Linked DNA regions of Anolis sagrei. The protein of the gene in region 4 interacts with the protein of the main gene of each other region in a pairwise test. Links are inferred from orthologs where the notes say so. Each region holds a gene or a part of one and is shown on either strand. Other genes may lie near its edges. The genes, in order: HTATIP2, ARFIP2, SYP and SH3GLB1.

What was found.
Region 1: the proteins of SH3GLB1 (region 4) and HTATIP2 interact in binary tests that used the Homo sapiens proteins (3 or more experiments, as listed by UniProt). The link is inferred for Anolis sagrei from reciprocal best matches to the Homo sapiens genes SH3GLB1 and HTATIP2.
Region 2: the proteins of SH3GLB1 (region 4) and ARFIP2 interact in binary tests that used the Homo sapiens proteins (3 or more experiments, as listed by UniProt). The link is inferred for Anolis sagrei from reciprocal best matches to the Homo sapiens genes SH3GLB1 and ARFIP2.
Region 3: the proteins of SH3GLB1 (region 4) and SYP interact in binary tests that used the Homo sapiens proteins (3 or more experiments, as listed by UniProt). The link is inferred for Anolis sagrei from reciprocal best matches to the Homo sapiens genes SH3GLB1 and SYP.

Annotation. Positions count from the first base shown.
Region 1 is NC_090022.1:179,284,438-179,291,695, reverse strand, and holds the start of HTATIP2 (oxidoreductase HTATIP2), read right to left. Parts: upstream 3,015-7,258; 5' UTR 2,929-3,014; intron 491-2,928; 5' UTR 461-490; coding exon 342-460; intron 1-341. UniProt on the Homo sapiens protein: Represses translation by preventing reactivation of elongation factor eEF1A. May also inhibit nuclear import by competing with nuclear import substrates for binding to a subset of nuclear transport receptors.
Region 2 is NC_090023.1:1,134,008-1,141,543, forward strand, and holds the start of ARFIP2 (arfaptin-2), read left to right. Parts: upstream 1-4,533; 5' UTR 4,534-4,744; coding exon 4,745-4,858; intron 4,859-4,995; exon of another isoform or gene 4,996-5,007; intron 5,008-6,777; exon of another isoform or gene 6,778-6,796; intron 6,797-7,536. Other genes in the region: DNHD1 (dynein heavy chain domain-containing protein 1), read right to left, coding at 1,833-1,857; TIMM10B (mitochondrial import inner membrane translocase subunit Tim10 B), read right to left, coding at 2,041-2,205, 2,311-2,406, 4,452-4,487. UniProt on the Homo sapiens protein: Plays a role in constitutive metalloproteinase (MMP) secretion from the trans Golgi network. May have important functions during vesicle biogenesis at certain cargo subdomains, which could be predominantly utilized by secreted MMPs, such as MMP7 and MMP2.
Region 3 is NC_090022.1:175,468,100-175,475,947, forward strand, and holds the start of SYP (synaptophysin), read left to right. Parts: upstream 1-4,840; 5' UTR 4,841-4,934; coding exon 4,935-4,952; intron 4,953-7,848.
Region 4 is NC_090024.1:153,435,360-153,442,939, forward strand, and holds the start of SH3GLB1 (endophilin-B1), read right to left. Parts: upstream 3,016-7,580; 5' UTR 2,809-3,015; coding exon 2,737-2,808; intron 1-2,736. UniProt on the Homo sapiens protein: May be required for normal outer mitochondrial membrane dynamics. Required for coatomer-mediated retrograde transport in certain cells. May recruit other proteins to membranes with high curvature. May promote membrane fusion.

The DNA.
Region 1 (7,258 bases), on a different chromosome or scaffold from region 4:
TTAACTGTCATAGCTCAATATTATGGGAGCTGCAATTTTACAAGGTCATTAGCCTGCCACAGTGTTGGTGTTTCATCAAACTACAACTCCCGGGATTCCATAGCACATGGCAGTTAAAGAGGCGTCAAGCTGTAGTCATTGCACAATGCAGATGCGCCTTTGATGGACCTAGTGGGAGTTCAATATACTTCAGAGTAGATGTGGACATGCGTCCTGTGTTAGGCTAAAATTGTGACCCTAGGCATGTTTATTCATATCCAGGCACCATTCATTTCTATGGTGCTTCCTTACTGGGCAATTGGAAACAGTCTGAACTGGGCTATTCTACATTTCCAAGGCACCTAAGGAATACTGCTGGATACTGTAGACATGATTGGCCATGCACAGCCCTTTCCAGAGGTCCTCCCAGCCGCAGGACGCCTTTCAAGGCTTTGCTTAGATTGTACAGCCGGCCCTCCATATCCACGGATTCTGCATCCACGGATTCCACCTTGAAAATAAAATAAAATAAATCCCTAAAAGCAATCTTTGATCTTCCCACTTTAAACAAGGGACAATCTACCCTTTTACTATGCTTTTGAACACAATGGGACTTGAGCCTCCATGGATTTTGGTATCCATGAAGTTCTGGACTAATTGTTCAATGTAACCACAAAGGAAAATATAGGATAGCCTGCTCACTCCCTTCTGTTCAATAGGAGAGACCACTAACCTCATAGAGGCAACTATCACAATCAGCCCCAGTTGTTTCAAACCTTGCTTGGACACATCTACACTGCATTATTTATTTATTTACTTACAACATTTATATCTCACCTTTCTCACCCCGAAAGGGACTCAGAGCAGCTTACAAGTTATATGTACTTACAATATATAATATTATTAGCATAGCACAATATTAGTATTATATATTACTATATTGTACTATACCACTATACTGCAATATTATTAGTAATATTACATGCAATATGAAATATATAGTTATTACATTGAATTATTATTAGTATTATGTTGTGTTACATTATAATATTCTATGTGTATACAATATATTATATTATTAGAACATTATTAGAACAGCACAATATTGGTATTATATATTACTATATTGTACTATACCACTATACTGCAATGTTATTAGTAATATTACATGTAATATGAAATATATAATTATTATATTGTATTATTTTTAGTATTATATTGTATTACATTGTAATATTATATGTGTATACAATATATTAGAACAGCACAATATTAGTATTATACATTACTCTATTGTACTATACCATGTAATATTACATGTAATATGAAATATATAATTATTATATTTTATTAGTAGTATTATTATATTGTATTACATTATAATATTATATGTGTATACAATATATTATATTATTAGAACAGCACAATATTAGTATTATACATTACTCTATTGTACTATACCATGTAATATTACATGTAATATGAAATATATAATTATTACATTGTATTCTTATTATTATTATATTGTATTACATTATAACATTATCAATATTATATGTGTATATAATATATTTTATTATCAGCACAGCACAATATTAGTATTATATATTACTATATTGTACTATACCACTATACCACAATATTATTAGTAATATTACATGTAATAATAAGTGGGTTATTGCACTGTGGGTTAAAGCACTGTGCCGGCAGGACTGAAGACCGACAGGTCGCAGGTTCGAATCCGGGGAGAGGCGGATGAGCTCCTTCTATCAGCTCCAGCTCCTCATGCGGGGACATGAGAGAAGCCTCCCACAAGGATGATAAAACATCAAAAATCATCCAGACGTCCCCTGGGCAACGTCCTTGCAGACGGCCAATTCTCTCACAACAGGAGCGGTTGCTCCTGATACAACGATGAGGAGTATTATATTGTATTACATTATAATATTATCAATATTATATGTGTGTACAATGTATTATATTATCAGCAGAGCCCAATATTAGTATTATATAGTACTATATTACTATATTGTCCTATTTCTGCCAACCTAGCAGTTCGAAAACATGCAAATGTGAGTAGATCAATAGGTACAATATTATATTTTTATTAGTAGTATTATTATATTGTATTACAATATTATGATCAATATGATATGTACATACAACATATTATATTATTAGCATAGCACAATATTAGTATTATGAATTAATTAAAAATAATAGAATTAATTAAATATGTAGAATTAATGCAATTTAACCACTTTAATTGCCATGTCTTAATGCTATGGAATCTTGGGAGTGGTAGTTCTACAAGGTCTTGACCCTTCTCTGCCTAAGAAGGCTGGTGCCTCACCAAACTACAAATTCCATTAATGCAATATTATGCAATTTGACCCCACTTTAATTGCCATGTCTTAATGCTATGGAATCTTGGGAGTGGTAGTTCTGCAAGGTCTCAACCCTTCTCTGCCTAAGAAGGCTGGTGCCTCACCAAACTACAAATTCCATTAATGCAATATTATGCAATTTGAACTCACTTTAACTGCCATGCCTCAATGCCATGGAATCCTGGGAGTGGTAGTTCTGCAAGGTCTTGTCCCTCCTCTGCCTGAGAAGGCTGATGCCTCACCAAACTACAAATTCCATTAATGCATTATTATGCAATTTGACCCCACTTTAATTGCCATGTCTTAATGCTATGGAATCCTGGGAGTGGTAGTTCTGCAAGGTCTTGATCCTTCTCTGCCTGAGAAAGCTGATGCCTCATCAAACTACAAATTCCATGGCCTTGATCCATGACAGTTAAAGGGGAGTCAAACTGCATTAATTCTACAGTGTAGATGCACTCAGGGATGGGGAAGCATTAATTAAAGGAGTAGGCAAGCAGGAGGAGAAAGGGAAACTGCAGATCCCCCTGGAGTAAAGGGGGGAGAGGAAGGAAAGCCTCACCTGCAACAACAGTGGAGAGTCTCCTACCAAGAAAGAGTCGCCCACTCTTCTTCCGGGTGTGCCTGCCTGGACTCACTGCGCAGGCGCAGATTGCAGAACTTTGTTTTCCTTTGCAGGAGGGAGGTTTGCTCAGCAGTGATCCAGAGATTAAAATTATGTTGCAATGAAGGGCGAGCCTGGGAGGAAACTGCAACAGTATATTGTTGTTTTTTTTCCATCTCTTTGTATTCTGCCCCCGCATTGCAAAGAAAGAACTTGCAAAGTCATCTCACAGTGTTCTTTTGCTTAAGAAAACTATGAAATTTATGGAGTTACCATAAGAGTAAACTGAATACACACATAGAGCCAGGGTATTTATTTATTATTTATTGAAAACTTTTATATCCCGATTTTCTCACCTCTGTAGAGGGACTCAGACCGGTTTACAGCAAGAATTCAATGCTACTAATACAAGTTAAAACATAATACAACAATACAAGATTAAAATACATATATACCAAATCACCAAGGTAAAATCATGTTCAACTCAGTCCGCATATGTGGTCACTCACTTTGGTCTGTAACCAGTCTCAGACATTATTCTGGGAATGCTTCATTCCATAACCAGGATTTCACTAGCCTCCTGAAGGACGAGAGGGAGGGGGCAGATCTGATCTCGCTCAGGAGAGAGTTCCATAGCCGAGGGGCCACCACAAAGAAGGCCCTGTCTCTCGTCCCCACCAAATGCACTTGCGAAGATGGTGGGAGATCTTAACGTCCTTGATGGTTCATAGGGGAGAATACGACCCCTCTGTTACGCCAGCTCCACTGGCTGTCGATCAGCTTCCGGGCACAATTCAAAGTGCTGGTTTTGACCTATAAAGCCCTAAACGGCTCTGGCCCAGTTTACCTTTCCGAACGGATTCTCCCCTATGAACCACCGAGGCTATTAAGATCTTCCGGGGGAGGCCCTCCTCTCGGTCCCACCACCCTCACAGTCACGGTTGGTGGGGATGAGAGACAGGGCCTTCTCGGTGGTGGCTCCCTGGCTTTGGAACTCCCTCCCACTAGAGGTTAGATCTGCCCCCTCCCTCCTGACGTTCAGGAAATCACTAAAAACCTGGCTCTGGAATGTGGCATTCGAGGACTGAACCTAGAACCTTCCCTATGATGAATTATGATGAACTGTGACCACGAACATGACTATGACTGACTGGATTGACGATTTGGTGTAGGAAACTGTAATGATGTAATGATGTAATGATAATGATGTTTTTATTGTACTGTGTTGTACTATTTTAATACCTGTGGTTTTTATATGATTGTACTTTATATATGCTGTAAACCGACCTGAGTCCCTCGTCGAGGTTGAGAAGGCCGGAATAGAAAACCTCTAAATAAATAAATAAATACGTTCGGACAGGTAAACTGGGCCGGAACCGTATAGGGATTTATAGGTTAAAACCAGCACTTTGAATTGTACTCGGAAGCTAGTAGTAGTAATTGTATTGATTAGCCCTTAGGCCATATCACAATAAGAAACAGAACAACAAGGCCTGACAAGACTTGATCACACTCCACATAGTAAGTTAAAATAATACACTTATAACATTCAGAAGCTAATTGGCAGCCAGTGGAGCTGGCGCAACAGAGTTGTGCGCTCCCTGTACCCAGCTCCCATCAGTAGCCTGGCTGCCGAGCGCGGGACTAATTGCAGCTTCCGGGCAATCTTCAGGGGCAACCCCACATAGAGAGCGTTGCAGTAATCTATACGGAATGTAACCAGAGTGTGGACCACCATGGCCAAGTCAGACTTCCCAAGGTACGGGCGCAGCTGGCACACAAGTTTTAACTGTGCAAAAGCTCTCCCGGCCACCACTGAGACCTGGGGTTCCAGGCTCAACGATGAGTCCAGGATCAGTCCCAAGCTGCAAACCTGCGCCTTCAGGGGGAGTGTAACCCCGTCAAGCATGGGCTGTAACCCTATGCCCTTTTCGGACTTACAACTGACCAGGATTACCTCTGTCTTGTCTGGATTTAGGATACTACACTTGGAGGACCATCATCCTCGGACTACGAGGGATCGCTTAAGTAAGTAAGTAAGTAAGTTAGACACACATATAGATCTACATGGTACCCATAAGGGCCCCAATATCCTATAAAGCAGTGTTTCTCAACCTGGGGGTCGGGACCCCTTGGGTGGTCATGAGGAGGTGGCTTAGGGGTCACCAAAGACCATCAGAAAACAGTATTCTCTGTTGGTCATGGGGGTCTCTGGTTGGTGGGGTTCAGAATGCTCTTTAATTGTAGGTGAACTATAACTCCCAGCAACTACAACTCCCAAATGTCCAGGTCTATTTTCCACAAACTCCACCAGAATTCACATTTGGCCATCTTGAGTATCCATCCCAAATTTGGCCCAGATCCATCATTGTTTGAATCTACACTACTCTTTGGATGTAGGTGAACTACAACTCCCAAACTCAAGGTCAGTGCCCATCAAACCCTTCCTGTATTTTCTGTTGGTCATGGGAGTGCTGTGTGCCACTTTTGGTTCTATTCCATCATTGTTGGAGATTTAGAATGCTTTTGATTGTAGGTGAACTATAAATCCCAGTAACTACAACTCCCAAATGACAAAATCACCCCCCTCCCCAACCCCACTAGTATTCAGATTTGAGCTTATCGGATATTTGTGCCCAGTTTGGTCCAGTGAATGAAAATACATCCTGCTTATCCTATATTTACATTACGATTCATAACAGTAGCAAAACTACAGTTATGAAGTAGCAATGAAAACAATGGTATGGTTGGGGGACACCACAACATAAGGAACTGTATTAAGGGGTCACGCCATTAGGAAGGTTGAGAAACACTGCTATAAAGGGACCAGATCCCATCTCATTTTGGAAACTAGGCAATGTGTAGCACACTGCTGGTATATTCCTTATATCGTTTGTTGAAATTAGAAATATATTCAGTTGAATCAAGAACCCACTGCATATTCTTGTGGCTAATCAAGATCTGTACAAGGACCAAGTAGCAACAGTAAGAACTGACCACGGAACAACAGACTGGTTCAAGATTGGGAAAGGCGTACGGCAAGGCTGCAGACTCTCACCCAACCTTTTTAACTTGTATGCAGAACACATCATGCGATGTGCGGGGCTGGATGAATGCAAAGCTGGGGTGAAAATTGCTGGAAGAAACATTAACAACCTCAGATATGCAGATGACACCACTCTGATGGCCGAAAGCGAGGAGGAGCTGAGGAGCCTTCTAATCAAGGTGAAAGAAGAAAGCGCAAAAGCTGGGTTGCAGTTAAACATAAAAAACCAAGATTATGGCAACAAAAATGATTGACAATTGGAAAATAGAGGGAGAAAATGTGGAGGCCGTGACAGACTTTGTATTTCTAGGTGCAAAGATTACTGCAGATGCAGACTGTGGCCAGGAAATCAGAAGACGCTTACTTCTTGGGAGGAGAGCAATGTCCAATCTCAATAAAATAGTGAAGAGTAGAGACATCAGACTGGCAACAAAGATCCGCCTAGTCAAAGCCATGGTATTCCCTGTAGTAACCTACGGATGTGAGAGCTGGACCTTAGGGAAGGCTGAGTGAAGGAAGATCGATGCTTTTGAGCTGTGGTGCTGGAGGAAAGTTCTGAGAGTGCCTTGGACTGTGAGAAGATCCAACCAGTCCATCCTCCAGGAAATAAAGCCCGACTGCTCATTGGAGAGAAGGATAGAAGAGGCAAAGTTGAAGTACTTTGGCCACATCATGAGGAGACAGCAAAGCCCAGAGAAGACAATGATGCTGGGGAAAGTGGAAGGTAAAGGGAAGAGGGGCTGACCAAGGGCAAGATGGATGGATGGGATCCTTGAAGTGACTGGATTGACCTTGAAGGAGTTGGGGGTGGTGACGGCTGACAGGGAGCTCTGGCGTGGGCTGGTCCATGAGGTCACGAAGAGTCGGAAATGACTGAACGAATGAACAACAACATAGTCATCAGCTGGGCACAGTAAGTTTACAAACTCTGATTTAAATGTTTCCAACCTGGGTTTTTTTTATCAATCTTAAATTGTTCAGTCATTTTCCTGTAGGCAAACTGTTTCATAACTCCCCTTTATTAAGTCCTTTCTCATCTTTAACCTATATCTATCATCTACTACTGTTGACAAATGTTGACAAATGTTTATAGGTCAGCAAGTTTACTTGTAAAGAAATGTCTGTTCTGACCAATGTTTCATATCACTGGAGTTATTCCTGACTGTTCTGGTAATGATGGGATTCCTGTTGCTGAAGCAATGTGTAAAGTGGTCCTTCCTGCAATGGAAACAGACCAATGTG
Region 2 (7,536 bases), on a different chromosome or scaffold from region 4:
AATAATAATAATACTTCATTTGTAAACCGCAGTCTCTCCCCATGGGGACTCAGATCTGTTCAACTGTGGAACTCTCTGCAGTGGAGTGGAGTCTCCTTCCAGAAGAGGGCTAGACGGAAGACTGACAGCAATCCAGTGAGAGCCTTCCTTTGACAACACAATAATAATAACAATACTATATTTCTAGACCGCCCTCTCTCTTTATAGGAACTCAGAGCTGTTCAGCAGTGGAACTCTCTGCAGTGGAGTGAATTGGAGTCTCCTTCTGGAAGAGGTCCAGACGGAAGACTCACAGCAACCCAGTGATTCCGGTCATGAGAGCCTTCCTTTGACAACACAATAATAATAACAACAATACTTTGTTTCTAGACCGCCCTCTCTCTTTATAGGGACTCAGAGCTGTTCAGAAGTGGAACTCTCTGCAGTGGATTGCCGTAAGTTTCATGAAAGCTTTCGACAACCAATAATAATAATAATAATAATCCTTCATTTGTAGACCGCCTTCTCTCCCCATAGGGACTGAAGAGCTGTTCAACTGTGGAACTCTCTGCAGTGGAGTTGATTGGAGTCTCCTTCCGGAAGAGGTCCAGACGGAAGACTCATAGCAACCCAGTGATTCCGGCCATGAGAGCCTTCCTTTGACAACACAATAATAATAACAATGTTTCTAGACCACCCTCTCTCTTTATAGGGACTCAGAGCTGTTCAACTGTGGAACTCTCTGAAGTGGAGTGGATTGGAGTCTCCTTCTGGACGAGATCCAGACGAAAGACTCACAGCAACCCAGTGATTCCGGCCATGAGAGCCTTCCTTTGACAACACAATAATAATGAAATACTTTATTTCTAGACCGCTCTCTCTCTTTATAGGGACTCAGAGCTGTTCAACTGTGGAACTCTATGCAGTGGAGTGGACTGGAGTCTCCTTCCGAAAGAGGACCAGACGGAAGACTCATAGCAACCCAGTGAGAGCCTTCCTTTGACAACACAATAATAATAATACTTTGTTTCTAGACCGCCCTCTTTATAGGGGCTCAGAGCTGTTCAACTGTGGAACTCTCTGCAGTGGAGTGTACTGGAGTCTCCTTCCGGAAGAGGACCAGACTGAAGACTCACAGCAACCTAGTGATTCCAGTCATGAAAGCTTTCGACAACCCAATAATAATAATAATACTTCATTTGTAAACCGCTGTCTCTCCCCATGGGGACTCAGAGTTGTTCAACTGTGGGACTCTCTGCAGTGGAGCGGACTAGAGTCTCCTTCCAGAAGAGGGCCAGACGGAAGACTCACAGCAACCCAGTGAGAGCCTTCCTTTGACAACACAATAATAATAACAATACATTGTTCCTAGACCGCCCTCTCTTTTATAGGGGCTCGGAACCGTTCAGCAGTGGAACTCTCTGCAGTGGATTGCCATAAGTTTTCCGGGGCTGTGTGTCCACGTTCCAGGAGCATTCTATGCATGTATGTCAGGCATCCTCAGAGGTGGAATGATGTCCAGGATGGTGGAAAGAAAATCTTCTCCCAGGCAGCAGGCAGCCAGATCTTGAAGTTGCAAGGCCATTAAACGCTAATCAAGCTGACCTCACAACCTCTGAGGATGCCTGCCATAGATGTGGGCAAAAGAAAATCTTCTCCCAGGCAGCAGGCAGCCAGACCTTGAAGTTGCAAGGCCATTAAACGCTAATCAAGCTGAATTCACTATCTCTGTGCATGTGGGCAAAACGTCAGGAGAGAGTGCTTCTGGAACACAGCCAGGAAAGCCTACAACGAGCCACTGCTGTACACAATGCCCTCTGCACATGCTCAGGGCCCCCCTGGCCTTGCTTTACCCTTCTCTGGCGCGGGAGACTCCATGGCTGCTGAGGAGGAGAGTGAGCGTTGCCAGGGGCGTTGCTAAGGAAGCCTAACGTCCCCCCTCCCGCCCTTCCGGAAGTCCGCTCTAGCCGTGCAGAGGATGTCCCTCCCCTTTGGGTGAGCTCAACCAATGAGGAGGCTTGGAGGAGGAAAAGGCGTTTGTATTTGAGTAAGGGCATTGCTTCAGTCCCCACTTCCGGGCGTGGGAGGCTCCTCCCCTTCCGGCTTGGCGGGCCCGCCCTCCTGCAGGCGGCGCTGGACCAAGACTGGCATGAGGCGCACGTAGGCCGAGATCAGGCGCTGATTGGAGCGGACCAGCTTCCCCGCGCAGCCCTCCAGGCACGCCTCCTGCCATAGAGAGAGAGGGAAAGAGAGGCACCGCTGGGATCAGAATGGCGGAAGAAGCCACAGGAAGTGGTTTTCCCCCGCACTTCCGGCGCCTTTTGCCCTCACCTCGCTCCCGTCTAGGCCTCGCTGGAGTAATCCCGGGACGCAGCGCCGGAAGCAGAGCTCCGTCATCCGGTTGTAGACCAGCAGGAAGTCCCGCAGCTGGAACAGGAAGGAGACAGATAAGACGTTTGGACTACAACTCCCACAATCCCCAAGTGTTAGGAAAGCAAGGCCTAGCTCAGGCCTTCCAGGCACTTTGGACTACAACTCCCACAATCCCCCAGTTTTGGGAAAGCTAATCCCTCTCTCAGAGCCCAGCTGGGCCCTCCAGGCGCTTTGGACTACAACTCCCACAATTCCCGACTGTTAGGAAAGCAAATTCCTCTCTCAGAGCCTAGCTAGGGCCCTCCAAGTGCTTTGGACTACAACTCCCACAATTCCTAAGTGTTAGGGAAGCAAAGATCTCTTTCAGAGCCGAGCTTGGGCGCTCCAGGCGCTTTGGACTACAACTCCCACAATCCCCAAGTGTTAGGGAAGCAAAGCCTAGCTTGGGCCCTCCAGGCGCTTTGGACTGCAACTCCCACAATCCCCAAGTGTTAGGAAAGCAAAGATCTCTTTCAGAGCCTGGCTTGGGCCCTCCAGGCGCTTTGGACTACAACTCCCACAATCCCCAAGTGTTAGGGAAGCAAAGCCTAGCTTGGGCCCTCCAGGCGCTTTGGACTGCAACTCCCACAATCCCCAAGTGTTAGGAAAGCAAAGATCTCTTTCAGAGCCTGGCTTGGGCCCTCCAGGCGCTTTGGACTACAACTCCCACAATTCCCAAGTGTTAGGGAAGCAAAGATCTCTTTCAGAGCCTAGCTCGGGCCCTCCAGGCGCTTTGGACTACAACTCCCACAATCCCCAAGTGTTAGGGAAGCAAAGCCTAGCTTGGGCCCTCCAGGCGCTTTGGACTACAACTCCCACAATTCCCAAGTGTTAGGGAAGCAAAGATCTCTTTCAGAGCCTAGCTTGGGCCCTCCAGGCGCTTTGGACTACAACTCCCACAATCCCCAAGTGTTAGGGAAGCAAAGCCTAGCTTGGCCCCTCCAGGCGCTTTGGACTACAACTCCCACAATCCCCAAGAGTTAGGGAAGCAAAGATCTTTTTCAGAGCCTAGCTTGGGCCCTCCAGGCGCTTTGGACTACAACTCCCACAATTCCCAAGTGTTAGGGAAGCAAAGATCTCTTTCAGAGCCTAGCTCGGGCCCTCCAGGCGCTTTGGACTACAACTCCCACAATCCCCAAGTGTTAGGGAAGCAAAGCCTAGCTTGGGCCCTCCAGGCGCTTTGGACTACAACTCCCACAATCCCCAAGAGTTAGGGAAGCAAAGATCTCTTTCAGAGCCTAGCTTGGGCCCTTCAGGCGCTTTGGACTACAACTCCCACAATCCCCAAGTGTTAGGGAAGCAAAGCCTAGCTTGGGCCCTCCAGGCGCTTTGGACTACAACTCCCACAATCCCCAAGAGTTAGGGAAGCAAAGATCTCTTTCAGAGCCTAGCTTGGGCCCTTCAGGCGCTTTGGACTACAACTCCCACAATGCCCAAGTGTTGGGGAAGCAAAGCCTAGCTAGGGCCCTCCAGGCGCTTTGGACTACAACTCCCACAATGCCCAAGCGTTAGGGAAGCAAGGCCTAGCTTGGGCCCTCCAGGCGCTTTGGACTACAACTCCCACAATCCCCAAGCGTTAGGAAAGCAAAGATCTCTTTCAGAGCCTAGCTTGGGCCCTCCAGGCGCTTTGGACTACAACTCCCACAATCCCTAAGCGTTAGGAAAGCAAAGATCTCTTTCAGAGCCTAGCTTGGCCCCTCCAGGCGCTTTGGACTACAACTCCCACAATCCCCAAGTGTTAGGAAAGCCAAGCCCTCTCTCAGAGCCTAGCTTGGGCCCTCTAAGCGCTTTGGACTACAACTCCCACAATTCCAGAGTGTTAGGAAAGCAAAGATCTCCTTCAGAGCCTAGCTTGGGCCCTCCAGGCGCTTTGGACTACAACTCCCACAATGCCCAAGCGTTAGGGAAGCAAGGCCTAGCTTGGGCCCTCCAGGCGCTTTGGACTACAACTCCCACAATTCCTAACAGCCGTCCCGGCTGTTAGGAATTGTGGGAGTTGTAGTCCAAAGCGCCTGGAGGGAAGGATGGGAAGCCCCGCCCCCTTGTTTGGGAAGACTCACGCTGCGCAGTTGCTGCTGCTGCTCGCTCTCCGCCATCCTGCGTCACTTCCGCTTTGCTTCCCCCTTGACTCCTTCCTTCCTTCCTCTCTCTCCCCCCGACCCTGGGGCCGCCGTGACGTCGCTTCCGGTCCTCCCGGGGGCCCAAGGCGGCGGAGGAGGAGGAGGAGGAAGGCGACGTGGCCCCAGTTCCGGGAGAGAGGGAGGGAAGGAAGAGGGAGGGGCCTAGAGCGCACCTGTGCACCTGGGAGGCAGGTACACAAGCTCACCTGTCCCCCTCCTGCTCCTCGTCCAGGATGACGGAGGGGCTGATGAGCAAGGCGGCCACCATGGAGGTCCCCATCCACGGCAACGGAGACTCCCGGCGGATGGGACCCTCCACCACCTCCGAGGATGATGGCCTCGAGCAGGTGCATTGAGGGAGGGGCTCACCTGGAGAGGGTGGGTGGGGGTGGGGTGGGGTAGCAGGGGAATTGAGGCAGGGGCTCACCTGGGGAGATTGGGTGGGTGAGGGGTGAGGTGGGGTGAGGGTCCCTCAGAAGATGATGGCCTCGAGCAGGTGAATTGAGGGAGGGGCTCACCTGGAGAGGTTAGGTGGGTGGGGAGTGGGGTAGCAGGGGAATGGAGGGAGGGGCTCACCTGGAGAGGTTGGGTTGGTAGGGGGTGGGGTAGCAGGTGAATTGAGGGGGGGACTTACCTGGGGAGATTGGGTGGGGGGGTGGGGGGCGGTCGAGCAGGTAAATTGAGGGAGGGGCTTACCTGGGAGGTTGGGTGGGTGGGATGGGGAGAGGTCAAGCAGGGACCCGTATTACTCGTAGTAATAATATTATTATTGGTGTTGTGGTGGTGCTTGAGTAGCAGGCAAAATGTCAGGAAGAAATGCTGCCAGGCCACAGCCCTACAACCTGGATAAGCACACAACTGAGGGAGGGGCTTACCTGGGAGGTTGGGTGTGGGGGGGGTGGGGAGGGGTCAAGCAGGGACCCGTATTACTCTCAGTAATAGTATTATTATTGGTGTTGTGGTGGTGCTCGAATAGCAGGTGAAATGTCAGGAGGAAATGCTGCCAGACCACAGCCCTTACCTGGGGAGATTGGATGGGGGCTGGGGGTGGGGGTGGGGGTGGGGAGGGGTCAAGCAGGGTCCCTTATTACCATTAATAGTATTATTATTATTGGTGTTGTGGTGGTGCTCAAATAACAGGCGAAATGTCAGGAGGAAATGCTGCCAGGCCACAGCCCTACAACCTGGATAAGCACACAATTGAGGGAGGGGCTTACCTGGGGAGATTGGGTGGGGGGTGGTGGGGGTCCCTCAGATGATGATGACCTCGAGCAGGTGAATTGAAGGAGGGGCTTACCTGGGGAGGTTGGGTGGGTGGGGGGTGGGGAGGGGTCAAGCAGGGACCCGTATGACTCGTAGTAATGATATTATTATTGGTGTTGTGGTGGTGCTCGAACAGCAGGTGAAATGTCAGGAGGAAATGCTGCCAGACCACAGCCCTACAACCTGGATAAGCACACAAGTGAGGGAGGGGCTTACCTGGGGAGATTGGGGGTGGGGAGGGGTCAAGCAGGGTCCCTTATTACTCATAGTCATAATATTATTATTGTAATATTATAATATTATAATATTATTATTGGTGTTGTGGTGGTGCTTGAATAGCAGGCGAAATGTCAGGAGGAAATGGTGCCAGACCACAGCCCTACAACCTGGATAAGCACACAAGAGAGCCGTCATTCCAGCCGTGAAAGCTTTCCACAATACATTATTATTATTATCATTATCATTATTATTATTATTAGAAACATAACAAGATGAGTCCACAGCAGACACTCTGCTGGCTGTTGCATTGGATCCCATGTCGGACACATTATTATTATTATTATTATTATTATTATTATTATTATTTGAAACACAACAAGATGAGTCCACAGCAGACACTCTGCTGGCTGTTGAATTATTATTATTATTATTATTATTACTGTTATTATTTGAAACACAACAAGATGAGTCCACATGTCAGACACTTCCCAAGTGCCTAGGACTATTATTATTATTATTATTATTATTATTATTATTATTATTAGAAACATAACAAGATGAGTCCACAGCAGACACTCTGCTGGCTGTTGAATTGGATTACACATTGGACACTTATTATTATTATTATTATTATTATTATTATTATTATTATTATTAGAAACACAACAGGATAACACTACAGCAGACAATCTGCTGGCTGTTGTACTGGGTCACACGATGGACACTTATTATTATTATTATTATTATTATTATTATTATTGGACACTTATTATTACCACTCAGAGGATAATGGCCTCGAGCAGGTGAATGGAGGGAGGGGCTTACCTGGGGAGATTGGGTGGGGGGTGGGGGTGGGGAGGGGTTAAGCAGGGACCCTTATTACTTTTAATAATATTATTATTATTATTGGTGTTGTGGTGGTGCTCGAATAGCAGGTGAAATGTCAGGAGGAAATGCAGCCAAACCACAGCCATAATTATTATTATTATTTTACTGACACAAAACCACAATATGTCACAGCAAACAAGATCTCTGTGCTAGGTTTCATATCACAAAATCATAAGTCGATCCCTTTCCTAAGTGTCTATTTATTTGTCGTTTCACGGCAAGCAAACTGCATTGAGTCGCCTTTTTGGGCTGAAAAATGCGGTATAGAAATAAAGCAAATAAATAAATAAAATAAATAAGCAGTCAATTATATTATATTTCTAACAGAACAAAGCAAACAAACAGACAAAACACAGAATTTGTGAGTTTGGTAGTTGGTTAAATGTCCTTTGAGCAGTCTCTGGCCACTTGGAGTGCCTCTGGTGTTACTATAAGAAGATCCTCCCTGGTGCATGTGGCAGGGGGTCAGTGGTTTGCTCTTCTCCGCACTCGCATGTCGAGGATTCCACTTTGTAGCCCCATTTCTGAAGGTTGGCTCTGCATCTCGTGGTGCCAGAGCACAGTCTGTTCAGCGCCCTCCAAGTCGCCCAGTCTTCCATGTGCCCAGGGGGGAGTCTCTCATTTGGTATCAGCCATTGGTTGAAGTTCTGGGTTT
Region 3 (7,848 bases), on a different chromosome or scaffold from region 4:
TCTATATATATATATATATATATATATATATATATATATATATATATATATGCTTTGTGCATAATGAGTACCTTAAAAACAAAAGAACCAATGAACGAAATCACACCAAATTTGGCAACAAAACGTCTCACAAAACAAGGAGTGACCATCACTCAAAAAATTATGATTTTGTCATTTGGGAGTTGTAGTTGCTGGGATTTATAGTTCACCTATAATCAAAAAGCATTCTGAACTCCACCAACTATGGAATTGAACCAAACTTGACACACAGAATTCCCATGACCAACAGAAAATATTGGGTTTTGGTGGGCATTGACTTTGAGTTTTGGAGTTGTAGTACTCTTAGCTGTCTTTTTCTCCATTTTATAGCTCCTCTCCCTTTTGTTTTGCCTTCAAAAAGGAATGGTTTTACCCCTTGCTCTCCTCTCTGTGTTGTTTCCCTTTTGTTAAATGTTAGACTGGAAGTGTCCTGGAGGCCAGAGAGCTTTTTCATTGCTCTCATGACCCAAAGCCTCAGGCACACTCAGATGGAGTTATATACAGCTGGCCCTCCCTATCCACGGATTCCTCATCCAATAATTCAACCATCCAGAGCTTGGAATATATTTTTAAAAAAGAATTCCAAAAGAGAAATACTAATTTTATTTGTATTGTCGAAGGGTTTCATGGCCGGAATCACTCGGTTCTTGTGGGTTTTTTTCGGGCTATAGGGCCATGTTCTAGAGGCATTTCTCCTGACGTTTCGCCTGCATCTATGGCAAGCATCCTCAGAGGTAGTGAGATCTGTCCTAATTCCAACAGACCTCACTACCTCTGAGGATGCTTGCCACAGATGCAGGCGAAACGTCAGGAGAAATGCCTCTAGAACATGGCCCTATAGCCCGAAAAAACCCACAAGAACCGACTAATTTTATTTATTTATTTATTTATTTGCTATATTTGTATACCACCCTTCTCAGCCCTCAGGAGACTCAGGGTGGTTTATAGAGGCAACAATTCGATGTCCAAGAACATCATAAAATATTTCAAACACTAATACATAGTTCCAAGCTCCTATGTTTTTTTCATTGCATTTTCAAATGCTTACTCAAACAGCCAAGTCTTGACTCTTTCCCAGAATGTTAAGAGGGAGGGGGCCAATCTAATGTCCCTAGGAAGGGCGTTCCATAGCTGAGGGGCCACCAAATGGCTGATACCAAATGAGAGACTCCCCCCTGGGCACACAGAAAACTGGGCTACTTGGAAGGCGCTGAACAGACTGCGCTCTGGCACCACGAGATGCAGAGCCAACCTTAGGAAATGGGGCTACAAAGTGGAATCCACGACATGCGAGTGTGGAGAAGAGAAAATTACAGACCACCTACTACAATGCAACCTGAGCCCTGCTACATGCACCATGGAGGACCTTCTTATAGTAACACCAGAGGTACTCCAAGTGGCCAGCTACCGGTCAAAGGACATTTAATCAACTACCAAGCTAGCAAACTTTGTGTTTTGTCTGTCTGTCTGTCTGTTTGTTTGTTTGTTTTGTTAAAAATGTAATACAACTGTCTGGTTTCTCCTGACACGATAAATAGTTATTGTGTCAGGGCAACCAGTCAATTATATTACATTTCTAACATAACAAAGCAAACAAACAGACAAAATACAAAATTTGTGAGCTTGGTTGTTGATTAAATGTCCTTTGACCAGTATCTGGCCACTTGGAGTGCCTCTGGTATTGCTGCAAGAAGGTCCTCCATTGTGCATGTGGCAGGGCTCAGGTTGCGTTGCAGTAGGTGGTCTGTGGTTTGCTCTTCTCCACACTTGCATGTCGAGGATTCCACTTTGTAGCCCCATTTCTTAAGGTTGGCTCTGCATCTCGTGGTGCCAGAGCGCAGTCTGTTCAGCGCCTTCCAAGTCGCCCAGTCCTCTTTGTGCCCAGGGGGGAGTCTCTCATTTGGTATCAGCCATTGGTTGAGGTTCTGGGTTTGAGCCTGCCACTTTTGGACTCTCGCTTGCTGAGGTGTTCCAGCGAGTGTCTCTGTAGATCTTAGAAAACTATTTCTTGATTTAAGTCGTTGACATGCTGGCTGATACCCAAACAAGGGATGGGCTGGAGATGTCGCTGCCTTGGTCCTTTCACTATTGGCTGCTACTTCCCGGCGGATGTCAGGTGGTGCGATACCGTTTAAGCAGTGTGATTTCTCCAGTGGTGTAGGGCGCAGACACCCCGTGATAATGCGGCATGTCTCATTAAGAGCCACATCCACTGTTTTAGTGTGGTGAGATGTGTTCCACACTGGGCATGCATACTCAGCAGCAGAGCAGCACAGCGCAAGGGCAGTTGTCTTCACTGTGTCTGGTTGTGATCCCTAGGTTTCGTATGATGTTGTTTGTAGCACCCACTTTTTGCTTGATGTTTTGGCTGATGAGATGGTATTGTTATTGTTGTTGTGTGCTTTCAAGTTGTTTCAGACTTAGGTTGACCCTGAGCGAGAACCGGGTAAATTACATTGGAGGGCCGTATTCGGCCCTGGGCCTTAGTTTGAGGACCCCTCCTCTAGACCATGGCCATATAGCCTGAAAAAACCTACAACAACCCAATTATTGTTATTAATTATTAGGTTCTTGTAGGTTTTTTCGGGCTATAGGGCGATGTTCTAGGAGCATTTCTCCTGACGTTTCGCCTGCATCTATGGCAAGCATCCTCAGAGGTAGTGAGGTCTGTTGGAAATAGGAAAATGGGTTTATATATCTGTGGAATGACTGGGGTGGGGCAAAGAGCTCTCTGCTGAAGCTAGGTGTGAATGTTTCAGCTGAACCCTTCATTAGCATTTGAAGACCTGGCTGATCCTGGGAAAATGTTCTGTTGAGAGGTGTTAAGATGTGCCTGGTTGTTTCCTCTCTGCTGTTTAGCTGTAGTAATTTTAGAGTTTTTTAATACTGGTAGCCAGATTTTGTTCATTTTCATGGTTTCCTCCTTTCTGTTGAAATTGTCCACATGCTTGTGGATTTCAATGGCTTCTCTGTGTAGTCTGACATGGTGGTTGTGAGAGTGGTCCAGCATTTCTGTGTTCTCAAACAATATGCTGTGTCCAGGTTGGTTCATCAGGTGCTCTGCTATGGCTGACTTCTCTGGTTGCAGTAGTCTGCAGTGCCTTTCATGTTCCTTGATGCGTGTCTGGGCAATGCTGCGTTTGGTGGTCCCTATGTAGACTTGTCCACAGCTGCATGGTATACGGTAGACTCCTGCCATGAAAGCCTTTGACACTACATTATTAATTATTGTAGTTGTTGTTCATTCGTTCAGTCGTCTCCGACTCTTCGTGACTTCATGGACCAGTCCACGCCAGAGCTCCCTGTCTGCGTCACCACCCCCAGTTCCTTCAAGGTCAGTCCAGTCACTTCAAGGATGCCATCCATCCATCTTGCCCTTGGTCGGCCCCTCTTCCTTTTGCCTTCCACTTTCCCCAGCATAATTGTCTTCTCTAGGCTTTGCTGTCTCCTCATGATGTGGCCAAAGTACTTCAACTTTGTCTCTAGTATCCTTCCCTCCAGTGAGCAGTCGGGCTTTGTTTCCTGGAGGATGGACTGGTTGGATCTTCTCGCGGTCCAAGGCACTCTCAGAACTTTCCTCCAACACCACAGCTCAAAAGCATCGATCTTCCTTCGCTCAGCCTTCCCTAAGGTCCAGCTCTCACATCCGTAGGTGACTACAGCGAATACCATGGCTTTGATTAGGCGGATCTTTGTTGCCAGTCTGATGTCTCTACTCTTTACTATTTTATCGAGACTGGACATTGCTCTCCTCCCAAGAAGTAAGCGTCTTCTGATTTCCTGGTCACAGTCTGCATCGGCAGTAATCTTTGCACCTAGAAATACAAAGCCAGTCACGGCCTCCACGTTTTCTCCCTCTATTTCCCAGTTGTCAATCATTCTTGTTGCCATAATCTTGGTTTTTGTGATGTTTAGCTGCAACCCGGCTTTTGCGCTTTCTTCTTTCTCCTTGATTAGAAGGCTCCTCAGCTCCTCCTCGCTTTCGGCCATCAGAGTGGCCGAAACTTATTATTATTAATTATTACCCGGCTTACCTCTCCGAACGCATCTCCACCTATGAACCGATGAGGATGTTAAGATCGTCCGGGGAGGCCCTGCTCTTGGTCCCGCCTGCATCGCAGGCGCGACTGGCGGGGACGAGGGACAGGGCCTTCTCGGTGGTGGCCCCTCAGCTATGGAATGCCCTACCCGTAGACATCAGGCAGGCCCCTTCGTTGCTGGAGTTCCGGAGGAAGGTCAAGACGTGGCTCTATGAACAGGCGTTTGGTCAACATGGCAATTGAACTCATGAAGACGGTATAAATGAACAAGGAATGGTAGAAGGATTACGAGAACGGAATCTGATTTTTACTGAGGCGTTGATGACTATGTTGTGTTGTTGTGTTGTTTGTATTGTCCGCTGTGTATACTGTGTTTTTAACTAATTGTATTGTAATAAACTGCATTGTAAACCGCATTGAGTCGCCGAATTAGGCTGAAAAATGCAGTATAAAAATAAAGCAAATAAATAAATAAATAAATTATTAATTATTATTATTATTATTACAGTTATTTTGGCATAGTAAAATGGCACCCCTCATATGGCCCAATGAGAGGGTGCTTTTAGAAATTCTGTGAGTTTGATTCCTTCAGCCTTGCCAATGCCCCCAACCAAGCCAAGCCTCCATTTCCCATCCCTGCGCCCATGAAGAACATGGCTCCTGTTTGGCTTCAGTGACGTCACCCCTGAGCTCTTCCAGCATCCCCCCTCCACTGTTTCCCTCTCTCTCTCTTCCCCCCTCCTCCTCCCTTGGCCCCGCCCTCCGAGGCTGTTCCAGATAAAGGGCTCCTCCTCCCGCCGGTCCCAACCTCCCCTGCGCTCTGCTGCGTCGCCCTCGCTTTTTCCCCAAGCAAAGATGGAAGTCGTCAATCAGGTAAGCGGCGGAGGGTTTCAGCACCAGGGACAGCTCCCCAAGGCGCCTTGCTTGCGGATGGGGGGGGGGGGGGAGAATGGAGGGAGTGTTGCGGAAATCCCACTTCACCTTCATCCTTTGCCCCCCCCTTTCCCATAAACCCCCACTATCCTCCTCCTCCCTGCAATAATAATCCCTGCAGAGATTTATCCTGAGAGCAGAACAATGCCTCCCTCTGCTTCTCCTTGTGGGGAGGGGGGGGGGGTCAGATCTAGGGAAGGATCTGCAGCCAAGCAAAGGCATTCTGTTCTCTTATGACATTGCTGCAGTAGGCATTGGGGGGGGGGGATTAGGAAGAGGGGTGCCTTGGATACAGAGCAAATAAATAAAAGAGATGGAGCTGGATTTTCTTCCCCATCCTTCCTTTGGAAATGATGATTTGAAAGAGGAATCTTATTTACTAAATATGGGGGGGTTTGAGCTGGAATATTTTGCCGCAGATGGGTTGGAAGAAGCCAAAATGGCTGGGGCGATGCAGTAAAGCTACGCCACGGCTGGCCCGCATTTGGGGAGCCAAAGGAGGAGGGACTGACTGACAGCCTGACTGGGATGCCCATGTAAACAGATGGGCACAGGGCGGGCAATGATATCCCTGCCCTGAGGCTAGTCAATAATACCCCCAGGCAGGTAGAAAATGCCGTATGGAGAAGAGCAGAGGGATCTGTAGTATGCAAGATGGATTCGTCATCATAATGCTAGCTGGGGACTGGGGAAGAAGAGGACTCAACATCGTAATTAATTCTGGAAGGCGAGGATGGAAGGATCTGAATCTAAGCTGCTCGTCGCAACCAAACTCATCACCATCCTTGTTGTTGAAGACATTGTGTCCTTGTATTGTCGAAGGTTTTCATGGCTGGAATCAATAGGTTCTTGTGGGTTTTTTGGGGCTATAAGGCTATGTTCTAGAGGCATTTTCTCCTGACGTTTCGCCTGCATCTATGGCAAGCATCCTCAGAGGTAGTGAGGCTGCTTGCCATAGATGCAGGTGAAACGTCAGGAGAAAATGCCTCTAGAACATAGCCTTATAGCCCCAAAAAACCCCACAAGAACCCATTGTGTCCTTACTGTTATGAGTGTGGCAGGGGATTCCCATCCAGGCATTTTCTCCTGACATTTCGCCTGCATCTATGGCAAGCATCCTCAGAGGTAGTGAGGATGCTTGCCATAGATGCAGGCGAAACGTCAGGAGAAAATGCCTCTAGAACATGGCCATATAGCCCAAAAAAACCCACAAGAACCCATTGTGTCCTTACTGTTATGAGTGTGGCAGGGGCTTCCCATCCAGGCATTTTCTCCTGACGTTTCACCTGCATCTATGGCAAGCATCCTCAGAGGTAGTGAGGATGCTTACCATAGATGCAGGCGAAACGTCAGGAGAAAATGCCTCTAGAACATGGCCATATAGCCCAAAAAAACCCACAAGAAGCCATTGTGTCCTTACTGTTATGAGTGTGGCAGGGGCTTCCCATCCATGTCTCAATATGGAGGGTAGAGGCACCAGATGGTGGGAGAAGGCATCAATATGGCCACAGAGGAACTTCAAGGCAAACGAAGGGATGGTGTCAGGCTTGCTTCAATGTTGTTTTGATAATAACTCTCCATAAACAAACAAACAAAGCCAAGGAAGGGATGGAGTAGAGTGGTGACATGCCATATCGGCATTGGGAGGCAAGCAAGGATGATGATGATGAGAAGGAGGAGAAGGAGGAGGAGATGATGCCTCAGGGGCGTCTTCTTGTCTCTGATCCCTGGAGCAATTGCAGCAGGATGCATTGCGGGAAGGAAGCAAAAAAAAGGGGGGGAGGGATTTATGGGGTGTCGCTGTGGAAGGTGGGGGTTGCTCCTCACTCCCGAAAGCAGCTGGCCTGGAGGAGGAGGAGGTGGTGGCGCAATGTCGTGTAATTTTAGCACAGAAGATGGAGCAAATGTTCCAGGAAGGTGGAAGAAAGTCCAGATGGAGCCTTCGGAAAGCACAGAGTTGGATGCGGAGGATTGTGTGCCGGCCTTGGTGTGCCTCAGAGGAAATAGAGCCTCTGAAGAGGCCTGGAGTGACCTGAGGGCCATGAGTAAAGAGATTTAATCAGGATTTGCAAGGGAGAGAACGTCCAGAAATCTATAGAGTTGTCGCAAGTGCTCTAAGATCTATATCAAGCACCACTTGGAAGGGAAAAGGTTTGGATCCTGGGGTTGTGAAACATTTGAAGAAATGCTACGGGATTTCATTGGATTAATGTATTGTCGAAGGCTTTCATGGCTGGAATCAATAGGTTCTTGTGGGTTTTTTCGGGCTATATGACCATGTTCTAGAGGTATTTTCTCCTGACGTTTCACCTGCATCTATGGCAAGCATCCTCAGAGGTAGTCTGGAGAAACGTCAGGAGAAAATGCTTCTAGAACATGGCCATATAGCCCGAAAAAACCCACAAGAAGCTATTTCATTGGATTGTCTTTTTTCTCCCCATAACTCAGTCTTTAGGAGGTTTGCTAAGAAATAAGCCCTCTTTCCAGATTTTCCTCTGTAGAATTGCAGCTTCCCCTCTCTCTCCCTTTAGAAATTTTGAGAAATAACAGGATAAGGAATGGATCTGATGTGAAATTATCTTTGGGCAGTGAATGATATAGGAGCCCCCGTGGCGCAGTGGGTTAAATAAACCCCTATGCCAGCAGGAGCGAAGACCGACAGGTCGCAGGTTCGAATCCGGGGAGAGCGTGGATGAGCTCCCTCTGTCAGCTCCAGCTACTCATGCAGGAACATGTGAGAAGCCTCCCACAAGGATGGTAAAACATCAAAACATCCGGGCGTCCCCTGGGGAACGTCCTTGCAGACGGCCAATTCTCTCACACCAGATGCAACTTG
Region 4 (7,580 bases):
CAAGGTGGTGGGTGCACAGGTGAGTGGAATTGGGGCCAACTTTGTGTAGGATGTGAGCAAGAGGGTTGTCTTATACATTGTATTGTATGTGATATGTGCGGTATGTGTACTGTCTGTAAATAATTTTATAAGTCCTTCCAAGAAAACCCCAGTGATAGGTCTGAAATGGCTTGAAGGCACATGGGATTGAAAGAAGTCTTAGACCCACTATATTCTGCTCAGCTTAGATCTCACCTGGAATGACAAGTATCTAGTTCTGGGCACCACAATTCATGAAGGCTATTGACAAGCTGGAATGTGTCCAGAGAAGAGCGACCAAAATGGTCAAAGGTCTGGAAGCCAGGAGAGAGCTGTGTATGTTTAGCTTGGAGAAAAGAAGGCTGTGAGGGGACATGAGAGCCAGGTTTAAATATGTAAAAGGAGGTCATACTGAGGGCCCTTCCACACAGCCATATAACCCAGAATATCAAAGCAGAAAATTCCACAATATCTGCTTTGAACTGGGACGTATGGCAGCGTGGACTCAGATAAACCAATTCAAAGCAGATATTATGGGAGTTCCTGCCTTGATATTCTGGGATATAGGGCTGTGTGGAAGAGCCCTGGTCTATCTGAGTCCACGCTGCCATATATCCAAGTTCAAAGCAGACAATGTGTATTTTATTCAGCTGTGTGAAAGGGGCCTGGGGAGGGGGCAAGCATGTTTCTGTTGCCTAGGACACGGACTAATGGATTCAAATGGAAAGAAACATGATTCCACCTAAACATTAAGAAGAATTTCATGATGGTAAGAGCTGTCTGACAGTGCAATGTGTTATATCCAAATCCTTAATAGTAAATCGTTCTTATTCTCATTGCTGCTACATGATATTTGCACTTTACTCATTAGCTCTATTTTCTAATGTTGTGGCACCAGTCCGCCCACCCATGACAAGACTCTGAACTTTGCTGTTGGTTGTTGGTTTGATGTTCATTTTATATACTATTTAATGTGTTATGTTTTAACTGTTCTGTTGGGCTTGGTCCCATGTAAGCTGCTCTGAGTCCCTTTGGGGACATGGAGGCGGAGGTATAGAATCATAGAATCAAAGAGTTGGAAGAGACCTCATGGGCCATCCAGTCCAACCCCATTCTGCCAAGAAGCAGGAATGTTGCATTCAAATCACCCCTGACAGATGGCCATCCAGCCTCTGTTTAAAAGCTTCCAAAGAAGGAGCCTCCACCACACTCTGGGGCAGAGAGTATAAAAATGAAGCTGTTATTTTTATTATTATTATTTGAAATACAAAAAGATTAATACACAGCAAACAAAGTCACTCTGCTGGCTGTTGTATTGGATCACACGTCAGACACTTCCCAAGTGTCTAGGACTGTATGATGTATCAGCAAATAATGCATGCAGATCCCACTAGGGTGGCCTTTTGCAGCTGACAGGTGGTAATTTTGTCAGCACCAATTGTGTTTAAGTGCAGACCAAGGTCTTTAATCTTATTATTACCCTTACGTGGTGTAGTGGTTTGGGTATTGGACTCAGAGACACAACACGGGTTCGAATCCCCACTCAGGCCCTTATTATTATTATTATTATTATTATTATTATTATTTGAAACACAACAAGTTGAGTCCACAGCAGACACTCTGCTGGCTGTTGTATTGGATCACATGTTGGACACTTCCCAAGTGTCTAGGACTGTGTGATGTATCAGAGAATAATGCGTGAGGATTCCAGTAAAGTGGCCTTCTGCAGCTGGCAGATGATAATCTTGTCAGCACCAATTGTGTTTAAGTGCAGACCAAGGTCTTTAGGCACTGCATCCAGTGTGCTGATCACAACTGGGACCACCTTGACTGGCTTGTGCCAGAGTCTTTGCATTTCAATCTTTAAATCCTCATATCGTGTCAGCTTTTCCAGTTGTTTCTCTTCAATCCTGCTGTTGCCTGGGATTGCAACATTGACCATCCATACTTTGTTTTTTAACACGATTGTGAGGTCAGGAGTATTGTGCTCCAAAACTCAGTCTGAATTATTATTATTATTATTATTATTATTTGCTGCCTAGAAGCATGGTGGAGTCTCCTTCTCTGGAGCTGTTTAAGCAGAGGCTGAATGACCATCTGTTGGGAGTATTCTGATTGTGTTTCTGCACAGCAAGGGGTTGGACTGGATGACCCTTGGGGTCTCTTCCAATTCTATAATTCTATGATCACGTAAAAGGAAAATCTGCATATTTAGCAAGCGAAGAAAATGCTAAACAGGGCCCACCTTAGGACTCTTTACAAAATGGTGTGTCCCTATACAGATAAGGCAAGTATGAAGGAGGGGCGGCAAGCCAAGTCTGGCCTAAGCCCTTAGGGACACGGGAGGCCTGGAGAACAGCTGCGACCAGGTCAGTCCAACTCTCCGCCGCCAGGGCAGACGGCTGGCCGCCTCTTAAAAGGCCCAGGGCGGGGGGGGGGGGGGCAAGAGAGGACAGCTGAGCCTCATAAAGTCCCCGAAGAACTCCGAGGGGGGGGGGGGAGGGGAAAGGGCCACATCCGGGCCTGGTGAGACGCCTGCCTCGAGACCCTCCCTCAAGAAATGGCCGCCCCCTCCCTCGCGCGCGCCGTGTTTGTCTGCCAAAGGGCGCGCGCGCGCGCACGAGCCAAACAAGGGCCGCGCGCCCAGCAACGGCCCGGCCAACGCCCCTCAGCAGGCAGGCAGGCAGGCTGGCTGTGGAGGAGAGCTGTCAGGCCTACCTGCACAGCGCGGCTGAGGAAGGTGCCGGCGTCGGCCGCCAGCTTCTTCACATTGAAGTCCATAATGTTCATTTTCCTTCGCTCATCCAGGAATGGGGGTGTTGTTGCCGCCTCCTCCTCCTCCTCCTCCTTCTTCTTCTTAGGCGGCGGCGCCCGCCTGCCGCCACCTCGCTTCCTTCCCCCTCCCCACCCCCTCAGAAGCGGCCGGCCAAAGCTGTGGCCAAAAGGGTGGCGTCGGGCGCTGCCGGGCCCGGCCGGGCGCTCTGACGCCGCCGCTGATTGGGTGGAGCCGGCGGGTGGGCGGGCACAAGAGAGAGGAAGGGCAGGCCCCGAAAGCGGCCGCTGATTGGGCGGAACTGGCTGGTGGGCGGGCACAAGAGGAAGGAAGAGGCAGCCGCGCTGGGCGCAAACCCCGATGCGCTGTACTCTGGGAGGGCGTTGCCCGAGACTTCAGCGCTGGGAGACACGACTAGATACGGGTTCGAATCCCCACTCAGGGCCTTATAGTAGAACTCACAGCCATAGAACTCAGAATATCAAGGCCGAAAATCTCACAAGGCCTGCTTTGAGCTGGGTGATCTGAGTTGAGTTCCCACTGCCCACATTTTCTGCTTTCAACTGGAATATATGGATTTGGGCCCTTTCACACAGCCATATAATAACCCAGAATATCAACGCAGAAAACCCCACAAGCTCTGCTTTGAACTGGGTGATCTGAGACCTCACTGCCATATATTCCATTTCAAAGCAGATAATGTGGGGTTTTATTCAGCTGTGTGGATGTGGAAAAGGGGCCTTAGTCCATGAAGAAAATCCCAGGATCAGTGATGACTTCAAGGCACACAATGTCAGAAGCAATTTGAGCAGTCTCAGCCACTGATTGGGGTTCCCAGTTTTAGCCTGCCACTTTTGGACTCTTGCTTGCTGAGAGCCCAAAAGTGTTCCTGCGAGTATCTTTGTAGATTTTAGGAAGCTGTTTCTTGATTAAGGCGTTGGTGTGCTGGCTGGTATCCGAACAAAGGATGGGCTAAAGATGTCTCTTGGTCCTTTCATTGCTGGCAGCTACTTCCTGGTGGATGTCAGGTGGTGCGATGCTGGCTAAACTATTTAATTTATCCAGTGGTGTAGGGCATAGACATCCTGTGATAATGCGGCATGTCTCATTAAGAACTACAGCCACTTTTTTGGTGTGATGTATTCCATACTAGACATTATACTTAAAGATTTGCCATTATACTAAATGTTCTTTGACCAGAAGCTGGCCACTTGGAGTGCCTCTGGTGTTGCTATAAGAAGGCCTTCCATTGTGCATGGGCTCAGGTTGCATTGTAATAGGTGGTCTGTGGTTTGCTTTTCTCCACACTCGCGTGTCATGGACTCCACTTTGTAGCCCCATTTCTGAAGCTTTGCTCTGCATCTCGTGGTGCCAGAAAGCAGTCTGTTCAGCGCCTTCCAAGTCTCTCAGTCATCAGTGGAGGGAGTCTCTCATCTGGTCTCAGCCACTGTTCTGGGTTATAGCCTGCCACCTTTGGACTCTCACTTGCTGAGGTGTTCCTGCGAGTATCTCTGTATATCATAGGAAGCCATTTCTTCATCCAATACGTTGGCTTGCTGGCTGATATCCAAACAGAGGATGAGTCGGAAATGTCAATGCCTTGGTCAATGCCTTTCATTACACAACAACAAAAACAGCATCTTTTCAGACTAGAGTTCATTCAAGTTAGTGCTTCCTGTATGCTCTTGAATGTGGGATTTTGGTTTGGGTGCCAGGATTATTTTCCAGGTGAAGAGATTGGCATAGGAGTTGCTGTCATACTACCTAGTTTTAGGATCATCAGGGATCTCCAGTTCTGAAACTTCTATAGAACCAGTGGCCATCTACGAACAAATGGCTAATTGCTCACTGCTTCAAAACAGTTGATGGGTTTCATTTTAGAAAGCAAGGACTTTGAGGAGCAGTGTGGCTTTTTTTCAAGCAGGAGTTGAAACTCTTCTTACAAATATGAACATAACTATTCCACCTTACTCTCAAAATTGTCGTTCAAAGTGACTTAATGAATATACAGCTATGGGAAGGGAGGTGCATACTCTTTGGCAGCCACTGAGAAGGCCCTTTCTCCTGTTTCCATCAAACCTTCTTGGGCCTGAGAGAAGGGCCACTCTTGCTGATTTCTGTTGCTGCCCGAATGAGCAGTGAGGTGGGTCTGAGCAGGGACTGTTATCTCCACCTTCATTTTGTGGGGTTCTAGGCCTCCTCTAATCCGTTGCAAGGGTCTCATGCTATATCATAATTGCAAAAGATTTCAGGAAATGGAGTGAGTGGCAGATGTTGTTCTACTGCCCTGCAAGTATCAAAGATGCTTGTGGTAAATGCACACTCTGATTCATATTGCAGCTCTACTAGTTCATGAAACAACTATAATGTCAAAACAGACATCTTCTGCACTATAACAATCAATAGTTTAATTGTAAAATGTTTGTGTCTCTGTATCAGCCCTTCTAGGGTTCAGAGTACCATGACCAGTAGTAATTTAACTTTTTAATGCCCAGTGTGAAGGAACAGATGAACATTCCATATACTCTATAAATCCTTGTGAATTCAATGGGCCTTATACTCAAATAAATTGATAAAAGGATTTCTGTTGTTTTCTGCCAAAAATTATTGCTGTATCAAGTTTTGGTTGACGAACAGTCCTATTGTTATATTTACCAATAAGTACCAGGTCTTAGTATGTACCATGCAGCCATGCTGGCCACATAGCCCTGGAGGTGTCTATGGACAACACTGGCTTTTTGGCTTAGTAATTGAGATGCGCACCAACTCCCAGAGTTGGACACGATTAGACTTAATGTCAGGGGAAAACCTTTACCTTTAAGTACCAGGTAGACAACATTCAGTATCCTGTGTGGTTTCAGGGCTTTTTGTGACGGATATGCACACACTGTCAGAATGACTAAGGAATTTCTGTTGGATGAGTGCTCCATTTCTTTGCCCTACTCCAACATTGGCTTATTGCAGACCTTTGAGGCATATGACACATCTTGTTCATTCCTTGTCAGGATGTTAATGTTCATTCTTAGTGGTGCAATGAGCTGCACTGTAAATGTTTGAGGGCTCTGAGGATAAATATTTCTCAATAGTCACCGCCAGAGTGTTTCATAAGTACATCAGAACCAATGTAGCAATTTTGTATACCAGTGGGTATTTAGGAATGAAGTAATAAAAATAATGGTGGGCCATTTTTATTCCAGTAAGGCCACACTGATGGATAGATTACAAATCAGTGCACTGTAACTTTTGTTGAATAAATGTTATTATAATTCTAGTGGAACTCAAATAATGAAAAAGTCAAAATCAACAATAGCTATCTCAAATTCCACTGTTGTGTTTACCGGATTAACACCCCCCCCCCCACCCCCCGGCGAAAGAAGTGGACCACTCTTACACCCTTTTCTCACTTGTGGCAATGAATTTTCAGCAACAACAAAACCTCAAAATGTTGTACAGTTTCCACAAACTTATTTTTCTGGATTAATCTTTCCTTCTCAACCAGTCCTCAGTTCAGGTGGTCTCTCTTGGCATGATGCAATAGTGATATTGGGCAATGTTCAGAAACCAGGTGGTTACAGGAATTTTGCAAGAACCATTTCAGTATCCTTAGGCAGCAACAACTGAAAATAATCCAAACAATTAGAGTTGGCTAAGGCATCACTTTAATGCATCCATTCTCTAGTCACTCCTGACATGAAAAAAATCCATTCTGAATTAAAGCCATTGAGCAATTTTATATTTGAAGCGTCATGCACGGTGGTCATATGAACATACCTTCACAGTTTATAAGGGCACTAATTTCACAGTTACTGTTTATTCCAAGAGCCTGAATACCCTAATGGCATGAGATCATGACAGATCTTGGAAGTAAACAGAGTCTATCTTGGTGTGCAGCTACATTGCAGAATTAATGCAGCTTGAATCCACTTTAACTGCCATGGCTCAATGCTATGTAATTATGGGAGGTGTAGTTTGGGGAGGTATCAGCACTATTTGCAGAGAAGGCTAAAATCTTTTAAATCTGCAAGTCCCACGATTCCATAGCATTGAGCATGGGAGATAAACTAGTGTCAAGTTACACTAATTCTGCAATGTAGATGCATCCCTGATTAGTGCTTGGATAGAAGGCCACCATTATGAATGCACAGGTTATATTTCAGGGGAAGGACCTGGCAAAACTACTTTTGTGTATTCCTTGATTAAGTAGCCTTCTACACTGCCATATAATCCAGATTAACAAAACAGATAATCCACATTAACTACTTTGACCAGTCCAGAAGGTTAGTTTCTGGACAAAGTACAAGGTGTTGGTTTTGATCTTTAAAGCCCTACATGGTTTGGGTCCAGGTTACCTACAGGATCGCCTTGTTTTGTACAATCCGCCCCACACAATGAGGTCCTCTGGGGAGCATCTGTTCCAAACAGCCAGAACCCGACTAGCAACCATCACCCAGAGGACTTTTTATCGGCCACCCCAATGGTGGAACGACCTTCCGATAGAGGTCCGACAGCTAGATCAGATGTCGAAAATTAAAAACCATGTAAATACCTATCCCTTCCATCAGGTCTACCCAAACAGTCTTTAAGCATGAGTTTTAAACTCATGTCATGTGTTTTGGTCTCTGTCCTGTGTGATAAATGTGTATTTTACAGAAATGCTTTGATCTGTATCTTTTATGGAACTGAATTTTAATGTGTGTTTGTAGAATTCTTATAGTATTTTTGTGTTTTTAACTGTGCTGTGACCCACCTCGAGCCATGGGGAGAGGTGGGTAAGAAATAATAATAATAA